Drosophila melanogaster: one gene and its partners. The protein of the gene in region 2 interacts with the protein of the main gene of each other region in a pairwise test. Each region holds a gene or a part of one and is shown on either strand. Other genes may lie near its edges.

What was found.
Region 1: the proteins of CG14540 (region 2) and Rad23 interact in a two-hybrid assay, tested with the Drosophila melanogaster proteins (one large-scale study listed by BioGRID).
Region 3: the proteins of CG14540 (region 2) and FoxP interact in a two-hybrid assay, tested with the Drosophila melanogaster proteins (one large-scale study listed by BioGRID).
Region 4: the proteins of CG14540 (region 2) and CG6441 interact in a two-hybrid assay, tested with the Drosophila melanogaster proteins (one large-scale study listed by BioGRID).

What each region holds. Positions count from the first base shown.
Region 1 is NC_004353.4:306,199-311,357, reverse strand, and holds Rad23 (Rad23), read right to left. Parts: upstream 3,266-5,159; 5' UTR 3,135-3,265; coding exon 3,069-3,134; intron 2,946-3,068; exon of another isoform or gene 2,928-2,945; coding exon 2,279-2,927; intron 1,820-2,278; coding exon 1,725-1,819; intron 1,665-1,724; coding exon 1,341-1,664; intron 1,280-1,340; coding exon 1,169-1,279; 3' UTR 536-1,168; downstream 1-535.
Region 2 is NT_033777.3:25,957,720-25,962,197, reverse strand, and holds CG14540 (uncharacterized protein), read right to left. Parts: upstream 2,920-4,478; 5' UTR 2,723-2,919; coding exon 1,784-2,722; intron 1,727-1,783; coding exon 1,603-1,726; intron 1,536-1,602; coding exon 757-1,535; 3' UTR 512-756; downstream 1-511.
Region 3 is NT_033777.3:9,725,496-9,732,415, forward strand, and holds FoxP (forkhead box P), read right to left. Parts: upstream 5,378-6,920; 5' UTR 3,939-5,377; coding exon 3,400-3,938; intron 3,342-3,399; coding exon 3,164-3,341; intron 3,108-3,163; coding exon 2,930-3,107; intron 2,871-2,929; coding exon 2,826-2,870; intron 2,741-2,825; coding exon 2,664-2,740; intron 2,597-2,663; coding exon 2,495-2,596; coding exon of another isoform or gene 2,432-2,494; exon of another isoform or gene 2,123-2,431; coding exon of another isoform or gene 1,913-2,122; exon of another isoform or gene 1,656-1,912; intron 1,519-1,655; coding exon 1,075-1,518; 3' UTR 525-1,074; downstream 1-524. Other genes in the region: hyd (hyperplastic discs), read right to left, coding at 1-30; alphaTub85E (alpha-Tubulin at 85E), read right to left, coding at 5,834-6,655, 6,784-6,920.
Region 4 is NT_033779.5:7,472,923-7,477,452, reverse strand, and holds CG6441 (uncharacterized protein), read right to left. Parts: upstream 2,750-4,530; 5' UTR 2,547-2,749; coding exon 1,582-2,546; intron 1,522-1,581; coding exon 1,009-1,521; coding exon of another isoform or gene 1,005-1,008; exon of another isoform or gene 960-1,004; intron 875-959; coding exon 742-874; intron 680-741; coding exon 614-679; 3' UTR 501-613; downstream 1-500. Other genes in the region: Ziz (zizimin), read left to right, coding at 1-271, 328-474, 2,948-3,158, 3,217-3,505, 3,564-3,796, 4,254-4,342.

The DNA of each region.
Region 1 (5,159 bases), on a different chromosome or scaffold from region 2:
GGGTATGCCCATGTTTATAAAGTTAATTCGACCCAGTCTAAAGTTCTGGAACGTGTCAAGGAAAGAAGTATTAACGAGTGCTTCTCTTTCCACTTACCTGCGTTCTACCAAATCTACCAATAATTCTTGTGTCTTTGAATCTACATTGAGTCAGGAAAGATTTATAATTGTAGCAACATTATAGAGGGGACCATAGCCATACATGAAACTATTAGAGATTTATTAATATTAAAGTGTAGAATTCTTTGCATTAATAATGCATATTACAATGTTCGAGTTTTATATTTGTCGTATTAATTGGCAAGCAGAAAAGTATCATAAGTCCAAATGTTCTACAGTTTTGTATATTTGTAAATTAATGATAATCTAAGTACTGTAAAACTGGAGAACATTTATTCCTGTAAAAATAAGCAATAAAAAATATTTATAAAAATTTTAATTAGTTTTTTCGTGAGTAAAGGGTATCTGATAGTCGAGGCACTCGACTATAGAATTGTTATGAATGTCATGCAATTAATGAAATTGTTTTATTTCTCCGACTCATCCTGAAAGGAATCACCAAAGAGACGCCACAGCTTATTAGGGCATAATTGCGGACATTATTTACAATAAAAAAACACGAAATTTATGTAATACAATGATTAATATATTTTAGTCATATGTCCAACATCCAGGACGACAAAAAGTACTTTATGTGTTAAGTGACTTAATTGTGGACTCCCACTAGTCAAAAAAATATTTTATAAATCAACCAAGATAAGGAAAGAATAAATCATAAGACTTCTTTAGCTTAATACGACCTTAAAATAATTAATGTGTGTATTGCATATACACTAGAAATACACACACTAGAAATATACTTTGCCATCCATTAGGTGAAGGCCTAATCCAAGGCCTCCCTACCATGGATTGGCACAGATAAATTTGTAGACATTTGCAGTCTTATGCTGAAGACAATGTCGTGGTGAAATATTTAGTAAAAATGACATCGTAACTCTATTTTACCCATGGCTGCAATTTTTAACAAATAACAAGTACAATACGCCGACGGTATTAAAAGAATATAAAAGAATTTTTATGATCGACATTTTACATTTAATTTAAGAACATCTAACTTTAAATGTAACGCTTCCGGTGTTATTTGCATAACTTCTTACATTTTGTCATCCTAATCATCGAAGCTAGACGATAGCAAAAAATTAGCTGCTTGTTCCTCGTTCTTTTCACAAGCGAAGTACGCTTGCAGTACAAGGGCCTCTGGGAATCCAAGAGCTTTTAGCTAGAAGAAGAATATATTAAGTAACTCGACAGTCCATATATAATTATTCACTCCTATATACCCGTTCTATTGCGTCCTTATCTTGGCGATTTAAACGAATGGTTGATACTCCTAAAGGTTGTTCCAAGTCTTCGTTATCCGCTGCGCTACCGCTTTGATGTGCTGCACTTGTACCCGCGGCTGATCTTTGTGCTGAAGTAGCTACTTCTAAATCTGGAGAAAAGAGGTCAACATTGTCCAAAGTTGAAGGAATCCGCGCATTCGAAACGGGAGGAACGGTGGCGCCTGACTCCGATTCGCGGTCAATCGGTTGATTAAGCATATTGAGAAACGCATCTTGGTTCTCCGAAATAAGTTGTAAAAGGGCTGGGTTTGTCTGACCAATCTATACGTAAAAAAAATTATCATTTACGTGTCATGTAATTATTATTATAAGTGTACTTACCTGCTGCAATACTGCATGCAAAAGATGAGGGTTTTGATAAATTAAAGATCGCATTTGAAGAAACTGTGGCTGGCTACGTAAAAATTCAAAGGGGTCTGAAACGTAAATATAAATAATTAAATAATAATTAAATTAACTAAAAACATATAGTGATGCCCTGTCCTTGAAGAGAATAGTGACAAAAATTCGTGAATTATCGCTCCTTTAGTGTCTGTTGACATATATATGTAAATGATACTGCGGGACAACGAGCTCACAAACATTTTAGTGAATCTTTAACAGCTGCATATATTTCCAGTACTAAGAGAACTCTTTTATTATTTATTAACGAATGTGCAACATAAGTTTTGATCAACAATATTTCTTGACCAGGAAAACTAACGCAATTATGTTAAGGCCGTATAATTTCATTAAAGAGCGAGAGCCAAATCGGGTTTATTAATTTCACTATGTTTTGAAGTGTGCAAATTTAGTACTTCTGGGTAGAAATTATATATTTTCGTTTCATACAAGAATACATAAATTGACTGCTGATTGAAATCCCATCAAGTTACCTGAATTTGATTCTGTTGAACGCTCGGCAGAGGTTGCCGACGCAGGTTGCGGTCCGGAGGGGATTAGACTAGGATTCGTTGATTCATTCAGCCTATTGTAAAAAGTACCTTCCTCTGCAGGTATGCCATTAATGAGATATTCAACGGCTCTTTCCGGGTTGTTATAACTAGCAGCCATCGCACGTTCAACCTGCTCTCTTGGGTAACCCATTTCCACCATTGATAGGACTGTTTGGTTGTATTCGTCACCCATAAGCAAATTAGATTCAGCGCGCGATTGTAAGGAAGCCTGGGCCAACTCGCCAATCAATTCGTCACTAGATAAAGGTCTGGTTTCACGTGATAAAACTGAATCTTCTGTATTTGTGGAACTAGGCGAATTGGTATGGTTGGCTTCTTCGCAAGGCATAGATTGCTTTGAATCGTCGGTGCTAGTCAATTTATTACTTTCTTTTACACTAAGTTGATTACGATTTGAACTAGACGAATCGCGTGTCAACATTACCACAATGAACTTTTTTTCATCAACGTTGTATGAACCAACGGTGCGGTCATCCGTCAATATGACGCCAGCGTAGATCAGTTTTTGTTTTTCGGCGACGTACTCTGGACCGCGCTCCTCGAATATTTTCTTCTTCAGTTCCAAAACCTTTTGTAATCAGAATCCCTGCTTATTATGGTACAACAAATTAATTGTAAGAAATACCTGTATAAGCACACATATGCATTTGCAATAATTGTATATACCATACATGTGAATATACTAGTATTTGACTATTTGTACACATACCGTTTTTTCCGGGGCAAACTCAATAGTAAAAGTTTGCTGTTGAAGATTTTTAATTGTAATAATCATCTTGTGTATCAGACAAAACCAAAACTTAATTAAATATACATATGCATACACATATGCAAACTCGAAAGTTAGTTCCCAATATCGCTTGATAAAAACGATTTGTCATCAGTGTGACCGCACATGGACTGGCAAATTATACCTTCTCGCTTAAAAGACACAAAATCGCAGCACAAACCAAAGAGTTCAATAGTCCTTATAACATTTTCACACATCAAGAAAGATGTAAAGATTTGTAATGAAATTTATAATGAAATATGAAATATTGAAGTCATAATGAACGTAACAAATAAACAATTGTCCGTGGTTTGACTGTAGTTAGTATTTCATTATATCAACGATTTAGATCATACTATATACAGGTTATACCTGTAGTATATAAGTCTATTTATAATATACCATCGGTTGATGATCAATAAATTTCAAAGAAATTTAATTTTTAATTCCGTTTAAGTAGTTCGGTATTTCTTTAAAAATACTTTAGTTTAACCAAAGACACTAGAATAACAAGATGCGTAACGGCCATACATTGGTTTGGCACTATGCAGCCACTTCTTTGGTGACTGCCAAAATTACTCTCTTTCCGCTCACTCCCGCTGAGAGCGTAAGAAATCTAAAAATATAATTTGATTGCTTGTGTGAGTAAAAACAAGAGACGAGAACGCGTATAAGTGTGCGTGTTGTGCTAGAAGACGATTTTCGGGCCGAAATCAATTCTGATCGAAGAAACGAATTTACATGGTACATATTAGGGTAGTTTTTGCCAATTTCCTAGCAATATGATAAAATAAAAAAATTTTTAAAAATTCGCGCCCTGACTATTATAATTTTAAAGCTTTTTAAATTTGTTTGTTAAAATCGCCGCTCGAATTAGCTACCGTTTACACATTTATATTTATGTTTAATTCTAATTTGTCTCTCATCTGACAATTTTTTAAAAGAGAAATTATTTTTTTAAAACACTTTTAATGTTAATGTTACATCATATTAAGTCAAATGATTTAATAAATATACTAAATAATTAAATATGATAACTGTTTATTGCAAAAGTAATATCAAAGTAATATACTAGAATAATTCTAATGCTTTGTTCATATCTTGAGGCACGAAGTGCGGACACAAGCACTCAACAATCATTGCCTTATTAATTTTTCACACGCCGCAAGATGAATACTCTAATGACAAATATTCTTATATAAAGTCATTTTTGAAATTTATTTTTGTGATAATATGTACATAGATTTGGCTATTTCTGATATATTTTCAAATAATAATAACGTTAAGGCAATGCAAAACAAGAATTTTTCGCATGGTGCCAATTGATCAAAAATAATATAGATTTAAAGTCTAAAAACTTCTGAGGTGAAGGGCATATTTTGTCAAATTTACAATGCATGAGCATACGTGTGCACACATACAGATGTCTCCTACCACTTTGTGCGTTGAAAAGAGCTGTTCGCTGTAGCGCTCTTCGCTCTCTCGCTCTCAAACAAAAATTCGAGAGAGCCTGGAGCCACCTCTAGAGCCACGGCCAAAAAATCGTGTGCCAAAAAATCGTATGGCGTTACGCATCTTGTTATTCTAGGGTCTTTGGGCAAACCAATGTATGGCCGTTACGCATCTTGTTATTCTAGTGTCTTTGGTAATACCGTATTCCTTTCAAAAGATATACATCAATGCTTATCTTCTGTCTTGTGAACATATATGATTTGAGTTCATATAAGATTAACGAAAATTTCGAAATTAAGATAACTATTGCTGTATCATCAGTGGGGTGTTTAAATGTAGTAAATATCGAGAATTTTAAAAGATACAATTTCAAAAATGACAAATGTGTTAATTCTAAATAATTGTATATACCATAAAAACAAAAAATAAAAATTTGCTGTTGAAGATTTTTAATTGTAATAATAATCTTGTGCATTAGACATTTGCAAAGAATAATACAAAAAATACACGAATGCATTGTTTTTCCACTTATCAATTAATAATAATAAATAAGTGTATTCATGTGAATTAATTTCATTT
Region 2 (4,478 bases):
GTAAGCATTTTCATTTGGCCACGTTGCATAAGTTTAATTTAGAGCTCAATTCCTTTAGGGGGTTTAACTTTAATTGCCCAAAAAGCAACTATATGGCCTTATTAAGCTGTTTGGCTTTTTATTTAAATACTCATTTTACTTTGAATAGACGCACCAATATCTTACCGACGGACCACGTCCACGTTTAAACTGTTTTGGCCAACTGAACTAGCGGAAGAACTTGCAGAGCCGCGACACTCGTAAGCCCATAAAAATGCAGCTGCAGGTTAGGGCTAGTGGGGGTGGTCTTAGGCCTTATTTTCCACTCGACTCAGTTTTACCCGGTTGCCGGATGGGGGTGATGCCTTGTTTTGGCCAGCTCAGTTGATTCTTGCTTTGCAGTCAATATAATATGCACTTATTAGTGACACCAATGGGCATTACTCAGCGAGAATCGGGATTGCCAAGGGCCAAATAGGTCAGTTTTATGCTCAATGTAAGCTGTTCACATAACATAAATAAGAATATGAAAGCCAGTTTTAAATTTTGAACATAGTTTAATTGTGATCCTAAAAATGAATTAAATGAATACATGTACGCCAGGTACGATAAGTTATAGTTAATTTGTCGAAACATTTGATCCAATTTTTTTTGGCTTTACATTATCAGAAATAATTTAGGTCATGCCAAAAGTAATATTTAAATAAGTATTAAGGCGATTTCTAGGAATGGGTTCCCCTTCAGTTTGAATGCTCCTTTATCTTCACTCCAGTGGCTTTACTGACCATCTCCGGCGCCTTGGTTGGCTCCCCTTCGATTTAATTTGCGGTTGGGCCGGCTCGTAGTTGCTCCACTTGGATACTTGAGGCCACAGTCATCGTCCTCGCTGCCGGTCGAGATGTCCGAGGAGAGCTGGAAGTCATCCACTTCGGTGTAGGTCTCATCCGTACTATCGTTGGGCGTTTCGATCTCCGTGTCGTCAACCTTTTTATTTTTCTGACTACCTGCGAGGGTCCTAGAGCTCATGGCTGCTGGCTGACAAAGTCCACCGTTTGAATTTTTCTTGGGTATCAAGATGTCCTCGAGACTGGGCAGTTCAGCCGACATCTGACCATTCATATCCTTCACCTGATTGCAGTAGCGCTGGATATTATCCAGGACTTCTTGCACGCCCACATCAGATGATTTTACAACTAAACTTTGCTCCGATGACGACTTTTGTGCAGCAAGAACTGGCTGCTGAGCTTTGCAGATGCTACGATAGGCACTGGAGTTCATTAGGGACTCGTTATGGTCTTTTTTGGCGCTAATAGGCATTTTGCTTTGATTCCTAATCACTTTTCCTGGTTGTTGTTTTAAACTATGCGACGGTTTCTGTGTCAGATTCTGACTGACTGAGGCCGCTGCTTCTAAGTTCGCCTTCGAAAGACTCAGCATTTCCTGAGTGGGCTTTCCATTCATCAGCGATTGATGCTGGTAAAACATTTTATCGTACTCGGATTTCATGCACAAGTACCGAAAGTGTCGCGAATTTTCCTCACCGAAGTAAATTACCTCTGCAGATGCCAAAAAATAGTTACATATTATAAATACCAAATAAACACTGAAAGTAAATAAACTCACTGCTAATGACTTGTTCCTGCAGCTTATCCAGGTTATCGTTTGTCTGCTTCAACTCGCCCGAGAACCTTTCGATTTTGTGGCTCAGATCGCGAAAGTTCTTTGCCAGAGCATCGGATATGGTGTTCTAAAGAAAGTGCATAGTGTATTAACTAATCAACTAAGGAACTTATGCGAAACTCACGCCAACGGCCGTTTTGACAGTCTGGCGGATCAGGTCAAAGAACTCCTCAGGATCTTCCTCCTTATCTTCATCGTCATCGGCGGTACTCACGTGCACCTTGCTCGCCGGAACAGGCTGTCGCCCACGCATCTGCTTCTGATGCGGATGCGGATGCTGATGCTGATGCTGATGCGGTTGCGAATGCTGGAGGCGCTGCTGTTGCTGATGCTTGAGGTGGTTGTGAGTAGTCATCTGCTGCTGCTGGTGCAGCTGGTGTTGCGGCGGATGCTGCATTGCTCCGGATTGCAACTGCATTTGCATTTGATGGGCATGAGAGTGCGGATTGTGCCGGCGCATATTTCCCATGTTTCCCTGCTGGGGCACCATTAGTTCCTTATCGGAGTAGTCGTCGTTGTCATCCATTGGATAGTCGTTCCTCTGGGTATTGCCCTTTTCGCGGTGCTTCATTCGGTATGTCTCCTTCGACTTGGACATGCCATAGCCATTAGGGTTTACCGTGCCTTCGGCCGGGCTAAAATGCGGCACCTTGTTCATCGGCGCCTGACGAGCACTGGCCTTATTGGCCATTTGGTTTCGCCTCGAGGGCATGGCGTTATATGGAGATGGCTGGACATGGCCGGGAATCATTTGCGATATTGATGGCTGCGCCATCGAACCGGGGGCATTTCGCAGATTGGCCGCCGTCAACGGCAGATTGGTGGTGATGTAGTAATCATTTTCGGTGACAAAACTGCGCTGAGTGCGAGCATCGACTTGTCGGGAGCTAATGGTTCCTCCACCGCCAGTTGCACCGCCTGGACCCGATCTCTCAGCCCTTGCTGTTTTCTTGGTCACACCTGCATGGGATATCGCTACCGACTTTACCGGATGCAAGGAATCCATTTTGGAACCATAGACCTCCTCGATTCCCTTGCGACGAATTGGGCGCACCATCTTCATCCAAAGGCTCTTTACTCACCGAAACAAACTTTCGTTGGCCTCGAGTTGCACCAATAAACGCAAAAGCACAATAATGTATAAACTGTATTTGATATATTTTACATCTATTTATGTTCTTTGGATGATTTAGCTAAAATGAATGAGGGATATAGAAAGATAGTGAATGTTATAACACCAGCCTACTGGATAGATAGATTGGATAAATATTACTCGTGTGAATAAACTGAAACATTAACGACATACATTTTCGTCGCATTTCGCATTTATCAAAATAATCAGAAATAATCGTTATTATGGTTATTTGTCAAATTTTGATTCACTTCCTTATACGAAGAGTATGAGTTGTACAATATATACATATTTACCACGGAATGATAGATCTCTGCACCTAAATCGCATTCATATTGATTACTCACTCCAGCGCTTCGTTTCTACCAAATTTATTTTCACACCTCAAACACCTCTTCATTATTCAAACCACAGGTGGTGAGGGAGTTTTCCCGTAAATTTGTTTACCTTTTGCCGCTCAACTAACCGCAAATGGCAATGACACAGAGCAAAGGTTCAATGTTTGCCCGCTTTGCCGGAAATATTTCTTCGGTTCGACGCCAAATCAAATGCTAATGAGCTGCATCTGATTGTGAGTGCGAAAGTGGTTTTGGATACCACTTGCTGTTCGCTTGGAAGTGGTTCATCGTTCAAGAAATTATTACAAATATTTATCCGATTATTTACCTTTGAACCTCCTCGGGCTGCCGTGTATCCAAGGCGAATGATTCGAATGCGTGGCATGGCCACGCTGGAGGAATCCTTAAGTAGGCAACTAGCTTTAAGGTCATGTCTGGACTGCTGAAAATAGACCGCTTAGCCTCAGGTTACAGACACTTAAGACATAAAGGGAATGCAAAGCGAAAGGGATTTAGAAAGGCGCTCAATAAAGTGCTGAAGGACCCTTAAAAATTGGGTCATCTGTCTGTGGGGACGGTGCCTTGAAACGGAAAACCCATGATGCCCATGCCAACTCCTTGTCTCATGTCCTCATTATGCAAATTGCGCATACGACGCGTGTGCTGCTGCCCACTGCAGGAGGCCTTCTCCCCTTTCCGCAAGCAAATCATTTTGTTGACAATCTGTTGCATGCGAATGCTATTAGGAACGAGATGATATCTGTGGGAATAATTTTCATTTAATGTACACCCTTTTCATTTTCTCTTCCCCTAAACGACCCCAAGAACAGCTCATTTAATTCGTTTTGTGTGTACCCTAGTCATAAATATAAATGAACCATGAACGGCCGACAACAGTTGACTATAATTTAAGATCCTGGCCTGCAGTTGAGCCTTGAATTTCCATCCTCTGCATGTGTGCGCATAAATATTGCAACATTCGAGGAAGCAACAAAGGTCAGACAGGCTTTATTTGTTGCAAATGCGCAGAGAAGCTGCCATTAAGCCTTTGAGTCCCATCTGAATGACGTTCATGTTGACATTGTCATGGTGATACAAAAAATAATCACCATTATTAGTTGTTCCGGCCAAACTGACTTGATTGGCCACTGATTCTATGCCATAGACTGTTTGGACTGATTATCAGCAAAATGCCAACTGACTTACAGAGCAAAACGTGAGCCATTCCAAAATTAATATAAGTCATTAGCATTATGCGGAACGATAAATTTTAATGGGACTCGGCATTAGAATTGCTTAAGGCGGAGATATTTCCAAGAAATTTATCACCCAAAAAAGTCGCCCCGCGG
Region 3 (6,920 bases), about 16 Mb from region 2:
CGGTTGCAAAACAAATTGCATGGAAACCATTTTAATTTTTCAACTATTCATGTACACAGTGTCCTCGTTGAATTTTCATGTCACAAAACGTTGAGAGACTTTCAGAGTGACCGTACTGGCTAGAGCTGGGACGAAAACCGATGCCGCCCGACTGTATCGATGGTTGCCGGAAAATTCGACGGTATCGATACATTCTCCAAACAAATTTATTGGTAAACAAAAACTTTACTTTCAAATTAAATTGACATTGACTACAATATGTGTACTTAGGCTGTATATATTTTATTAAATTTAAGATACAGAAGTTCACGAATGCGTCCATTCTTATCGGTTGTTTTTCCTTAAATAGTGGCAGTCCAAAAAATCTCCAATAGAATATACTAAAATATACTAAAGACCGCTTTAAAATAATGAATTGGTAGAAAACTTTGATTGACAAACTTTTGAGAAGCCGATTTAACCGCTTTTACGTCGCGTAAACCGTTTGCTTAGGAACTAGAAATAAAATTCAGTTTGTTCACTTTGTTGTATATTTGAGGAATTTATTTAGGTCACTGAGTATCGTTAATGATCTTAAATTAGAAGGAAATTAGATAAGTCAGCAGAAAAGCATATACGTTTACTAAGGAGTTTCCAAATCTAAAGCTCTCAAGGGTCCAGATTTTTAACAGAAGGTATACCTGAAAATAGTTTCCTTAAAAAAAAATCATATTGTGACTTTTAAAACAGTTTTGTTAAAATTTTATCAAGCTATAGCTTTTAAATGTTTTCTCCCTTGCTGAAAAGTGAAAATATTCATATATGTTGTACTCGTATATTAAAATCGTGTTATAAGTGGAGTTATTAAAGCAAGTTTAAACACATTAATTTTGCTTTAATAATTTAACGTAGTTCTTTCGTTTATTTTATAGCATTAGTGAAATTTATTTTAAAAGTATTTTTTCATTTCTATTTGGGAAATTATACATAGAACCATGTGTATGTACAGATATAATTTCCGAATCCGAACCTTCTTACCAAACGCAGATTACTCGACAATGCATCTAAATATATGTATAGTTAATGATATATTATTTATCGATTGTGCTCATTGGCACTACTCTCGTACATATTAGTAGAATATTCATCGATTGTCAAGTGGCTGTTACTTTCGATCATACCCGAGTCCATATTGCTATAGTCCTTGGACGCTTTACTTAAACCATCACTACCGCAATAGGGAAGACAACCAATTCTGCCTAAATCATTTGGATTATTGGAATCTAGAGGATTATCAGCACCCGGTGGCAAACTAGTGCAATGTTGCGTACAATTGTCGCAGGGATTCTTATCAGTGGGCACACCATTGCCGGATTGGCATGAATTTGGGGAGGAGGACGGTTCATATTTCCGGGGTCTCCCTCTCGACAAGTGCCGCCTTTTGACAAACTCATTATCGTCGACCATCCAAAACGAGCCAAAGTCATCTTCATAACGTACAAAGCACTTGTGTAAGGAAAGGTTCGTACGAATCGCATTCTTTATGATTGGTTGGACAAAACAAGAGCCCCATCAAGAGTCAGAAACAGGAAATTGCATTATCGTGAAAGGAAGAAAAAGTTCATTGAGATATTAAGGTTAGTTCATTTGTCTTCGGTCTTCTTATTTTCATTTTTCATAACACGCGAAATCCTGGATAATCTTCATCAGCTAAATTCCAGACAGACAGACAGACAGATCGATGAGCAGACGGACATCATTTTGGGTTTCTACCACTAAGAGATTAGAATCACTGTTTACAATTTGCGCTGTAAAAAGATCGTATAATGTCATATTATATCATTTCGATATAGGAGCATGCATGCAATGGCATATGTATATTTACTAACAGAGCAAAACGGAAGGAGTTTGGAGCAAAGTGAGTAGAATTAAACTATTTGAGACCCACATACCCAATGTTCATGGCTACAAAATAGTTAGTGTCCGGCGAATTGGTAGCACCGGTTAGATTGTTACCAATGCCAGCAGTGCGCTGCGGTCGTCTTTTGTAAAACTCAATCTCATCGACAGTCCAAACTGCTCCTTTCACATTCTCAACCCGCATAAAGCACTTATGAAGGGACAGATTGTGCCGGACTGCGTTCTAATGATATATATTATCAGTTAGCATAGGCCAAACTTAATTTGATTATTTTAAGACATATAAAAAGGAAATGGAATAAAACAGGATCTGACCTGTGTAGCTTACCTTGTTATATATCACTTGTATTTAGCTCTATTATACTCTTAAATATTGGCAAAGTAGTGGACAATGTGGAAAAGGTAGTATATAGTATATATACAGCGGACAAGCTAGGAACGCCAATCGGACAAACGAGAGTTATACGGACGGACAAATGGTCATATCAGATCATAGATATCATATCATATAGCATAAATACTCAAATTAAAGTTATGTTGCATAATATATAGATAATATGGAGGAAAGAAGATTTACATATATGGGGCATTTTACCTTCCACGTAGCTGCGTTGCGCCGGAAGTAGCAAAATGTGTTTTGGAACCAGTTGTAGATTTCGTTTAGGGTTAACTGCTTGTCAGGGGAGTCAATTATAGCCTATAAATAAAATATATATAAAAAAAATAAATTAATGTTATATTAGGAAATTGGTTTTTAAAATTACCTGTCTTATGAGGGAAGCATAAGTAAAAGGCGGTCGTACATCAGCATTCTTATAAAACTCTCTGTTTCGATGGATTTCTGCAAATTTAAATTCTTATTATATGTCTTCCAGAAGCACAAGACGAATAGTCATCAAGACGATCAGTCTACATAATTTACTTACCCTGTTGCACATCAAGACCTGCTCTTTCAAGCATATAGGGTAATCCTATATCCAAAAACCATTATTATTTTTATACAGTAATAGTAAATTTTTCCCAAACTTACCCCCATTTATGGAAAATGTATTTTTGTCGTGGTTTCTCTTTTTGATCGAGCACAAGTTGGTGGAATTAACCATTGGAAGATTCAGAGGACTCGGTGAATTTGTTTGTCGGATGGGTCGGCCTATGCTATTTACGGTAAGCGGACTCCGGCAAAACTTTCCCTCTCTTCCGGGCACGTCCTTATATTTATAACTTTTCATTATACCAATACTTACTCACATAAAAAGGGACTTACCTTCCTGTCGATTTTGGTGGGAGACAAAAGCTGCTTGGACAAATACAAGTGATGCATCATTGCCTGCAAGCGATCTCGTTCTTTTTGCAGGTGGGATTCCAGCTGGGAGACAACTTGCATTTGAACCCGTGCCTGTGCTGTTGATCGATCGTCCAAACCATGTTCCGTATTCAGATGCCTAGTTAGATAACATACCCTATATAATTATTTCATACCTCTAATTGTACTCCACCTACTTGACAAACGATGTGATGTCTTCCAAATCCATTTCGCAACCAGGCCAACGGCATATGCCATGAGCAAATAACGGATGATAGTACTTCCGCATGGCGAACTCATCGTGCATATAGCTGAAATCATTGTTGCACACCTCATTATCCTTCGACCGCAAGAATCTCTCTGCATCGGAGAACATGAGCTTCTCCTGCTCGGATATGAACTCGGGCACATTGTAGAAACCCAGATCGGGAACGGGAGCCATCATATGCTGACCCTGTATATGCATGTGTGGATTGGATTCGTGCTGCTGGGCCGCCGTTGAGGATTCATCGATGCTCGAGGCCGGTGAGCTGCACTTAACTACATGTGAGGCAAAGGTGATCGAGTTATTGAGAAAGCCAGTCGGCGGAAAACAATTGTTCTTAACAGCATCTGAGCATATGTCTGGTATGGAAATTTGGTGTCTCGACTTCACTGATATCTCCTTCTGAATCGAACTCTTAAAGTCCGATTCCTTGGCATCCTCGGAATACTCGTCGTCATGTATCCGATGCATGTTTTTAAAACTGAAATTTATAATCATTACCATTGATCCTTTACCCAAGAGATGGGCATATGCAAATACACAGAAATAATCTCTTTTTCGTCTGTCATTAGGAGTCATTTCAATAAAACTATCTTTACTCATATGCCGCCATTCCTGTAAAACTCCGAATCAGAGTGATAGTTTAAGGATTTCTATTTATTACGCCCTATTTAATTTCAGCTTAATTTTCCCGCACTATCATTGAGATGATACTTTCCCCAAAAGTTATGAATATTTAACAACTTGGCGCATATAAGATTTAACCCCTACTAAAGGCCCAGTGCTAAATGAATTCAGTGTAAATTAAATTAAACATTCTTTAAATGTTTGATTTAATTTTAAATATGTTACAAATAAAATGCCACGTCATCCGGTGCAGTTAATCTGTAAATATAAAGGTTATTCATAGAAAGCATTTATCATATTTAGGCGTATAACAAGTTTAAGATCTCACAAGGGGATTGCATAGGTGGCAAGGAAACCAGACACATCTTATTTTGCTAAAAAGAAACATATACAACATACATAACATAAGAAACATACAGACGGAACGGTCGGACAAACGGAAGGACATACAAACGGACGGACAAACGGACGGACAAACGGACGGACAAACGGACGGACAAACGGACGGACAAACGGACGGACAAACGGACATACAAACGGAAGGACATACAAACGGACGGACAAACGGATATAAAAACGGACGGACGTTTTGGCTATAGGATGAACTTAAATGGAAGAGTATATGAGTTTTGCAGATAGGACCATCTTACGATTGTTTTAATCAAATTCCTGTAATGAAAAATTATATAGCCACCTAAAATAAGAATAAATGTAAATGGTGAAATATGTAAGTATTAAATGTTTTATAGGAAAAGAAGAAAGATATAAAAGAGAAGAGAGAGGTATGGTTTTCATCACATTCGAAGATCCTGAAAAAATAGTATTATATTCGATATACATAAGCTTTTTGTGTAAAGGCGAATAAAGATAAATATATTGTTGGTATTGTGTAGATTTGCATTGTCTGTATTCGTTGGGGGCATTGATTATTCCAAGGGGTATATATGGGTAAATAAAATATTCATATTTCATATGTATACATATCATACAATTTCTGTATAAGAACTGTTTAAACTGGGACTTTTAAGATAAAGTTGTCTGCCTAGACTACTCAACAATATCTTAATTAACTTAACAGACTAGACTTAAATTTTGCGAATACATACATGCACATACAATTTTGCAGACAAAAGAGGATACAATTTTGCATGTACATTTACAATTAAATAACATTCACAGAGGTTTCCAAAGAACAATATTATATTTAATAACGGGCGAATTTTTTAATACAACTTTTCACATATATGTAAAATTAATTTAAACTTAAAAACTATCTTAAGAATATTTTTCGCTGCTACTCCTGAAAAGGTACGTCTACGACTACTGAATTTGCTAGAAATATGTGTACACATTTTTGCGCATGCGTTTCAAAATGCATCCTAAGGCTCCATTACACGTAACGATTTCAAAAATTAAAAACTTTTAAAAGTCAACATTAATTTGCCCAATTAATATTAATATTTAAAGCAATAAGAAAGTGATAAGTAGGGTTTTTTACGGAGGGGTAATTTCCAATAAATATATGATTTACCAATTTCCTTATATGAGAAAGTTTTATTCTTATTAACACAAAAGTTAAATTCCATCTAAAGACGAATATTTCCCATTTAAATAAGCCATTTTAAGCAATTGTGTTAAACTGTTTTATTGCGAAACTGTTTTATGCATTGGTATTTGGTAGAAAGAAAGTGATGTTTATAAAGTTGTAATGGCTGTATCATTTGTTGACAACGTTTTCTCTAGTATTCCTCATCTTCCCCCAGTTCGGTGGTGGAGTCGATGCCTACCTCCTCGTAGTCCTTCTCGAGGGCAGCGAGATCCTCGCGAGCCTCGGCGAACTCGCCCTCCTCCATGCCCTCACCCACGTACCAGTGGACGAAGGCCCTCTTGGCGTACATCAGATCGAACTTGTGATCCAGACGGGCCCAGGCCTCGGCAATGGCAGTGGTATTGGACAGCATGCAGACGGCGCGCTGCACCTTGGCCAGATCTCCGCCAGGAACAACGGTGGGTGGCTGATAGTTGATGCCCACCTTGAAGCCCGTGGGACACCAGTCGACGAACTGGATAGAGCGCTTGGTCTTGATGGTGGCAATGGCTGCGTTCACATCCTTGGGCACCACATCACCGCGGTAGAGCATGCAGCAGGCCATGTACTTGCCACGACGCGGATCACACTTGACCATCTGGTTGGCCGGCTCGAAGCAGGCATTGGTGATCTCGGCCACGGTCAGTTGCTCATGGTAGGCCTTCTCCACGGAAATGACGGGAGCGTATGTCGCCAGTGGGAAATGAATGCGTGGGTAGGGCACCAAATTGGTCTGGAACTCGGTCAGATCCACATTCAGGGCGCCATCGAAGCGCAACGAGGCCGTAATGGAGGAAACGATCTGGCCAATTAGGCGATTGAGATTCATGTAGGTGGGTCGCTCGATATCCAAGTTGCGCCGGCAGATGTCGTAGATTGCCTCGTTGTCAACCATAAACGCACAGTCCGAGTGCTCCAGCGTTGTGTGGGTGGTTAAGATCGAGTTGTATGGCTCGACCACAGCTGTGGACACCTAACAGGAAGTTCGATTATTAGATTGCCTTTCGAAGACTAATTTCCCATGTCTTTTACTAATTATGTTAATTGGTCTTCTATAAATGCTCAAGCAATAGATATAATATCCATATGCAAATGACATACTTGTGGTGCTGGGTAAATGGAGAACTCCAGCTTTGACTTCTTTCCATAGTCCACGGACAGGCGCTCCATCAGCAGCGACGTAAATCCAGAGCCAGTGCCGCCGCCGAAGGAGTGGAAGACCAGGAATCCCTGCAGAC
Region 4 (4,530 bases), on a different chromosome or scaffold from region 2:
GGATGCCGGTGCTCAGGATTCCCAGTACACCGAACAAATGCTACTGGAGCAGCTTAAGCTATGTGCTGACTTCTTGGATCGCGCTGAAAGATTTGAGTGCCTTGGAGAGCTCTACAAACTCATCCTGCCCATGTACGAAAGAGATCGTAGTTACCAGGACCTGGCACACTGCTATGAGCATCTCACGCAAGCCTATAATAAAATAGTTGAAGTGAATCGGTCAGGAAAGAGAATGTTGGGTCGCTTTTACCGTGTTGTATTTTATGGATTAGTGAGTAATCTACAGAATACCCTTAAAATTAATATTAAATTTAATGCTATTTTTAGATGTACTTTGAAGAAGATCATGCCATCGAGTTTGTGTACAAGGAGCCCAAGCTAACATCACTCAGCGAAATCTCTGAGCGACTTGCCAAACAATACAAAGAAAAGTTTGGAGCCGATGTAGTTAAGATGATCATGGACTCATCACCGGTAAGTATAAAAATTACACTTTCTTTAAATTTTTCCCAGTCTTGGTTTCAATTTTAATTTTAACATAACCTAGGTATTTTTGGATTGGAAAAACTAATTTTTGAAAGGGAAGCAACAAATCCATATAACTTATTGCAAATCACTTGAAGAGATATTCGTTGTATAGCAGATCCGAATCACTGTCGGCGCGCATCAAACTCATGCGCTACAATGGAGTATATATATATATTATATTATTTGTGAAATTGGAGTTGCGAGAGGGTTTACCCGCTTGACCTCGGACTGTCGCATCATTGAGGCGTTTGTGCTTCTTGGCATCATTCGCTGTGGGTTGCCATTGGTTTGCTTTGGATTAGACATGGCAATCCTGCTGGCCGTAGACATTTTTCCTGACTTGCAACTAAAGATATAAAGGAATAGAAAATATAAAATAGACAGTTTACAGGCACATAATAATAGACTATTAAAAGTTCTTCTTTCAAGGTAGTTTGAAGTAGATCTGTAAGCATTTAATGATCACAAATTTTAACTCACATATGATTTAACTTGGGTTTTTGTACGTTTGTACCAGATTTTCCTAGTTTTGTATCGCGACCTGTTGAAAGTCGTTGCGAACTGCCAGATGGCTGGTAAATTTTTGATTTTGCTTCAGTCAACCTATTTTGCTTGCGGGCAGCCCCGGTTGGGCACGAATCCATTTGCAGCTTTCGAGGGGCAGCCGATCCAGCTTGGTGGTGGCAACCAACTGCAATAGTCCGAAAATGTGAAGTCGTGGGTGAGCCCTTTGACGGCTGCATCATTGAACGGACTGCCCTGTTATTGTAGCCACTCTGTTGACCACTAGATCCTGCCCCACGAGCCGAGCATTTGGCTTTGGCTGTTTTGTACACCCGAGGAAAGGTTGTCGGCACACTAGTAGTTACCACGGTCTTGGGCTTCGTGGTAGATGGTAAATCCAACTCGAACTCATCTACCTCCATAGCTTCAATTTTTTGTTGATTTTCACTCAGTTCGTTGACCAACTGGCATCCCTGAGAGTCTTCGTATCTAAAAATATAAATCACAATAATTGTTGTATTCCCTTCACTTAACTTAAGACCCACCCACCTGTAAAGCTTTCCCCTCAAATATTCATTAGAAATAGATGGATGTTGACCTCCATTCGCGGTCAGTTCACAACCGTTGAAACTGGATTCGTCATCTCCTCTATAAGCCTTGGCCTCTACATTAGATTCCATTTCGTTCTTGGACATGCAAAGGGTTATACTAGATGACTGTGCCGTGGGTGGAGGGACCACTGTGGAGGGGCGGTTAACCTGGATCTGATCTCGGCTTACGATCAAACCCAGCCTGTGGCACAGCTCCTTAAAGGCTTTGTGAGAAACTATGTCTTGGTAGCGAGTTGATTCCGTAAAGGTGAAAAATTTCTCAAAAGCCTTTATGCACTCGATTTGGTTTTCGATTTCCAGCTCCGTATAGCTGCGATTTGAGCACAGGGTGCATCTGGGACACACGGATCCATCGCCACCGTATTCATACTTCTCGTTCAAAAGATCGTTGACCCGGATGAGGAATTGGGCAATTAGAACGGTCTCAGGTCTGTTCGCCAACTTCGCCTGATCGCCCACAGCCAGCTGGAGGCACTGTTTACTGTGGTTTACTAGAGTATTTCGGTCCAAAGGCTGCATCTGATCGTGCTCTTTGGTGGTGAAAGTCATACTAAGACCTTGTCCTCCTGGTAATACACCAACCGCGATCTCTTCCAGAGGCATTTGCTCGTCTCCCAGTTGACTTAGGGTGTCAAAGATCTGGCGCTCGAGAAAAATCCCATTTTCAACACGATTCACGGCATCACCAACGACCTCGGGACGCAGCAATGTTGTAGTTGAGGTCGCCTCCGTTTTGGTCGATGGACTTGGAGGCTCGGATTTCTGGCGAAAAGATGGCACGAATTCCACTGCGTTCGGATTTAGCGAGTACTCCCTCCTACATGGGATTGGTATCTGCATCTGCGGCATCTGGACCAATCCCAGACCCATCGCACGAGCCGGGAACTCAAAGAGCTGCTCCATAAGGGAACGGACAATGTATTGTGAAATAGTTACCGTATGTCCGACAATCTGATGAACTTATGGTTTGTGCCAAAAGAAGGAACTCGATCTCTACAAAATTTTGGATATTTTTGCGGTTCTAGTGTGCGGATTGTGGTAGTTGTATAAAAATAACAAACAATTTACTAGTACCTAGTAAAGTTGCTGAGCTATTTGAACCAAATCTGTTGAAGGTGGGAAGTATTCTGAAACAAACTTCATTCTGATATTTGCTGGAGGGACGACTTGATCTCGAAGTTACTAGTGTATGTCCACCATTGATTGCATTATTATTGCATTATATTATTATTTATTATTATTTATAGACGATTTTTTAAGACAAACAATTAAGTATTATAAAATTTTACAACTCATTTTTTCAGGTTAAAGTAGACGAACTAGATGCCAAACTTGCCTACATACAGGTCACCCATGTGATTCCTTTCTTCTCCAAGGACGAGCTAGACCAAAGGCTAAATGAATTCGAGCAGAATCATGATGTGGATACTTTTATGTACGAGACTCCGTTCACCAAATCGGGTGCAGCCCGTGGCAGCGTAGAAGAACAATGGAAACGCAAGACGGTTATAAAAAGTATGTAAAAACCGTCTTTAATTTCATTTGTACCATATTAAAGCATCAATTATTGCAGCTCAATACTCCTTCCCATATGTTCTTAAACGTATACCCGTCAAATCCCGTGAAATCATAGAACTGAGCCCCATTGAGGTGGCCATCGATGAAATGCAATCCAAGGTTTCAGAGCTGGAGGAGATCATACTCCCACCGGCCGATGTGAAGAAGTTGCAGCTGCGTCTGCAGGGAAGTGTGGCGGTGACTGTAAATGCTGGTCCTTTGGCCTACGCTCATGCCTTTCTCGATGCAAAGGTGGTTAACAACTTCTCAATGGATCGCGTCGGAGATCTCAAGGATGTTTTTCGGTATGCATTTCTAGTGACTAGTGCTTTACGTTTATTAATTGTGGTCTCTTTCTTGCAGCGACTTCATTGTGGTGTGTCAGAAGGCCCTGTTCCTCAACGAGCGGATCATCAGCGCTGACCAGAAGGAGTACCATCATGTGCTCAAGGAGAACTACGAGAAGCTGTGCCAGGCGCTCAGTGAGTTGCTGGACGACGAGTCCTTCCAGCCGCTCGGCGACGATGCCGACAGCATAAACCAGCGCAATAGCATGGCTTTGTTCAATGCGATCAGTGGCGCCTCCCATAACTCAAGTACTGCTTAAGTCCAACGAAATCATAATAAGATATCAAAATTCTGAAACTCAGTCACCCACACGCACGGCTAACCAGAAACCAAACCGATTGTTGAAGTATTCAAATAACACGAGCCCGATACGTAGGCGTAGAGATTGTAATGCGTTATCGTAACCACAACGTAGTCATAACATAGGCTCTCTTGGTGTTCCTTTGTTTGAAGTTGTCGTTGAATTTGAAATTGTCTTGCGGCAGGTAAAGCTCGATTTTGGGCTTAATGGTTTGCGCCTCGGCTGAGGAAATCCCCATGTGACTAACACCACAAAAAACATAAACAATCCAAATTTGGTGGCTTTTAATCCGAACCGAAACTAACCGTAAGCGCTTTCTGACAAAATTCGGCTAATCTAACTAAATGTTCTGTGACATTTATTAACGAGTTTGTATTAACGAGTTTGTAATTCTCCCGTTTTAGGACCGTATTTTGTTGATCAAAATACCAGCAACAGCACCCACCACCACAGTTCCCACATAAACACACAGAACTCCACACACCATTCATAACCGATAACCGAACAATATATTCTGTGCTAAACGACCAGTTCCATAAGTTCCAGTTAACCGATATTACATATTACTTGTTAATTTGACTATGCTTAAGCGACTATGATTTAGATTCCCACTTTATTGTTGTTAGATTTTTATGTTGGACAATTATAATTACAAAAAATATGTGTACATTTTTTCATAGC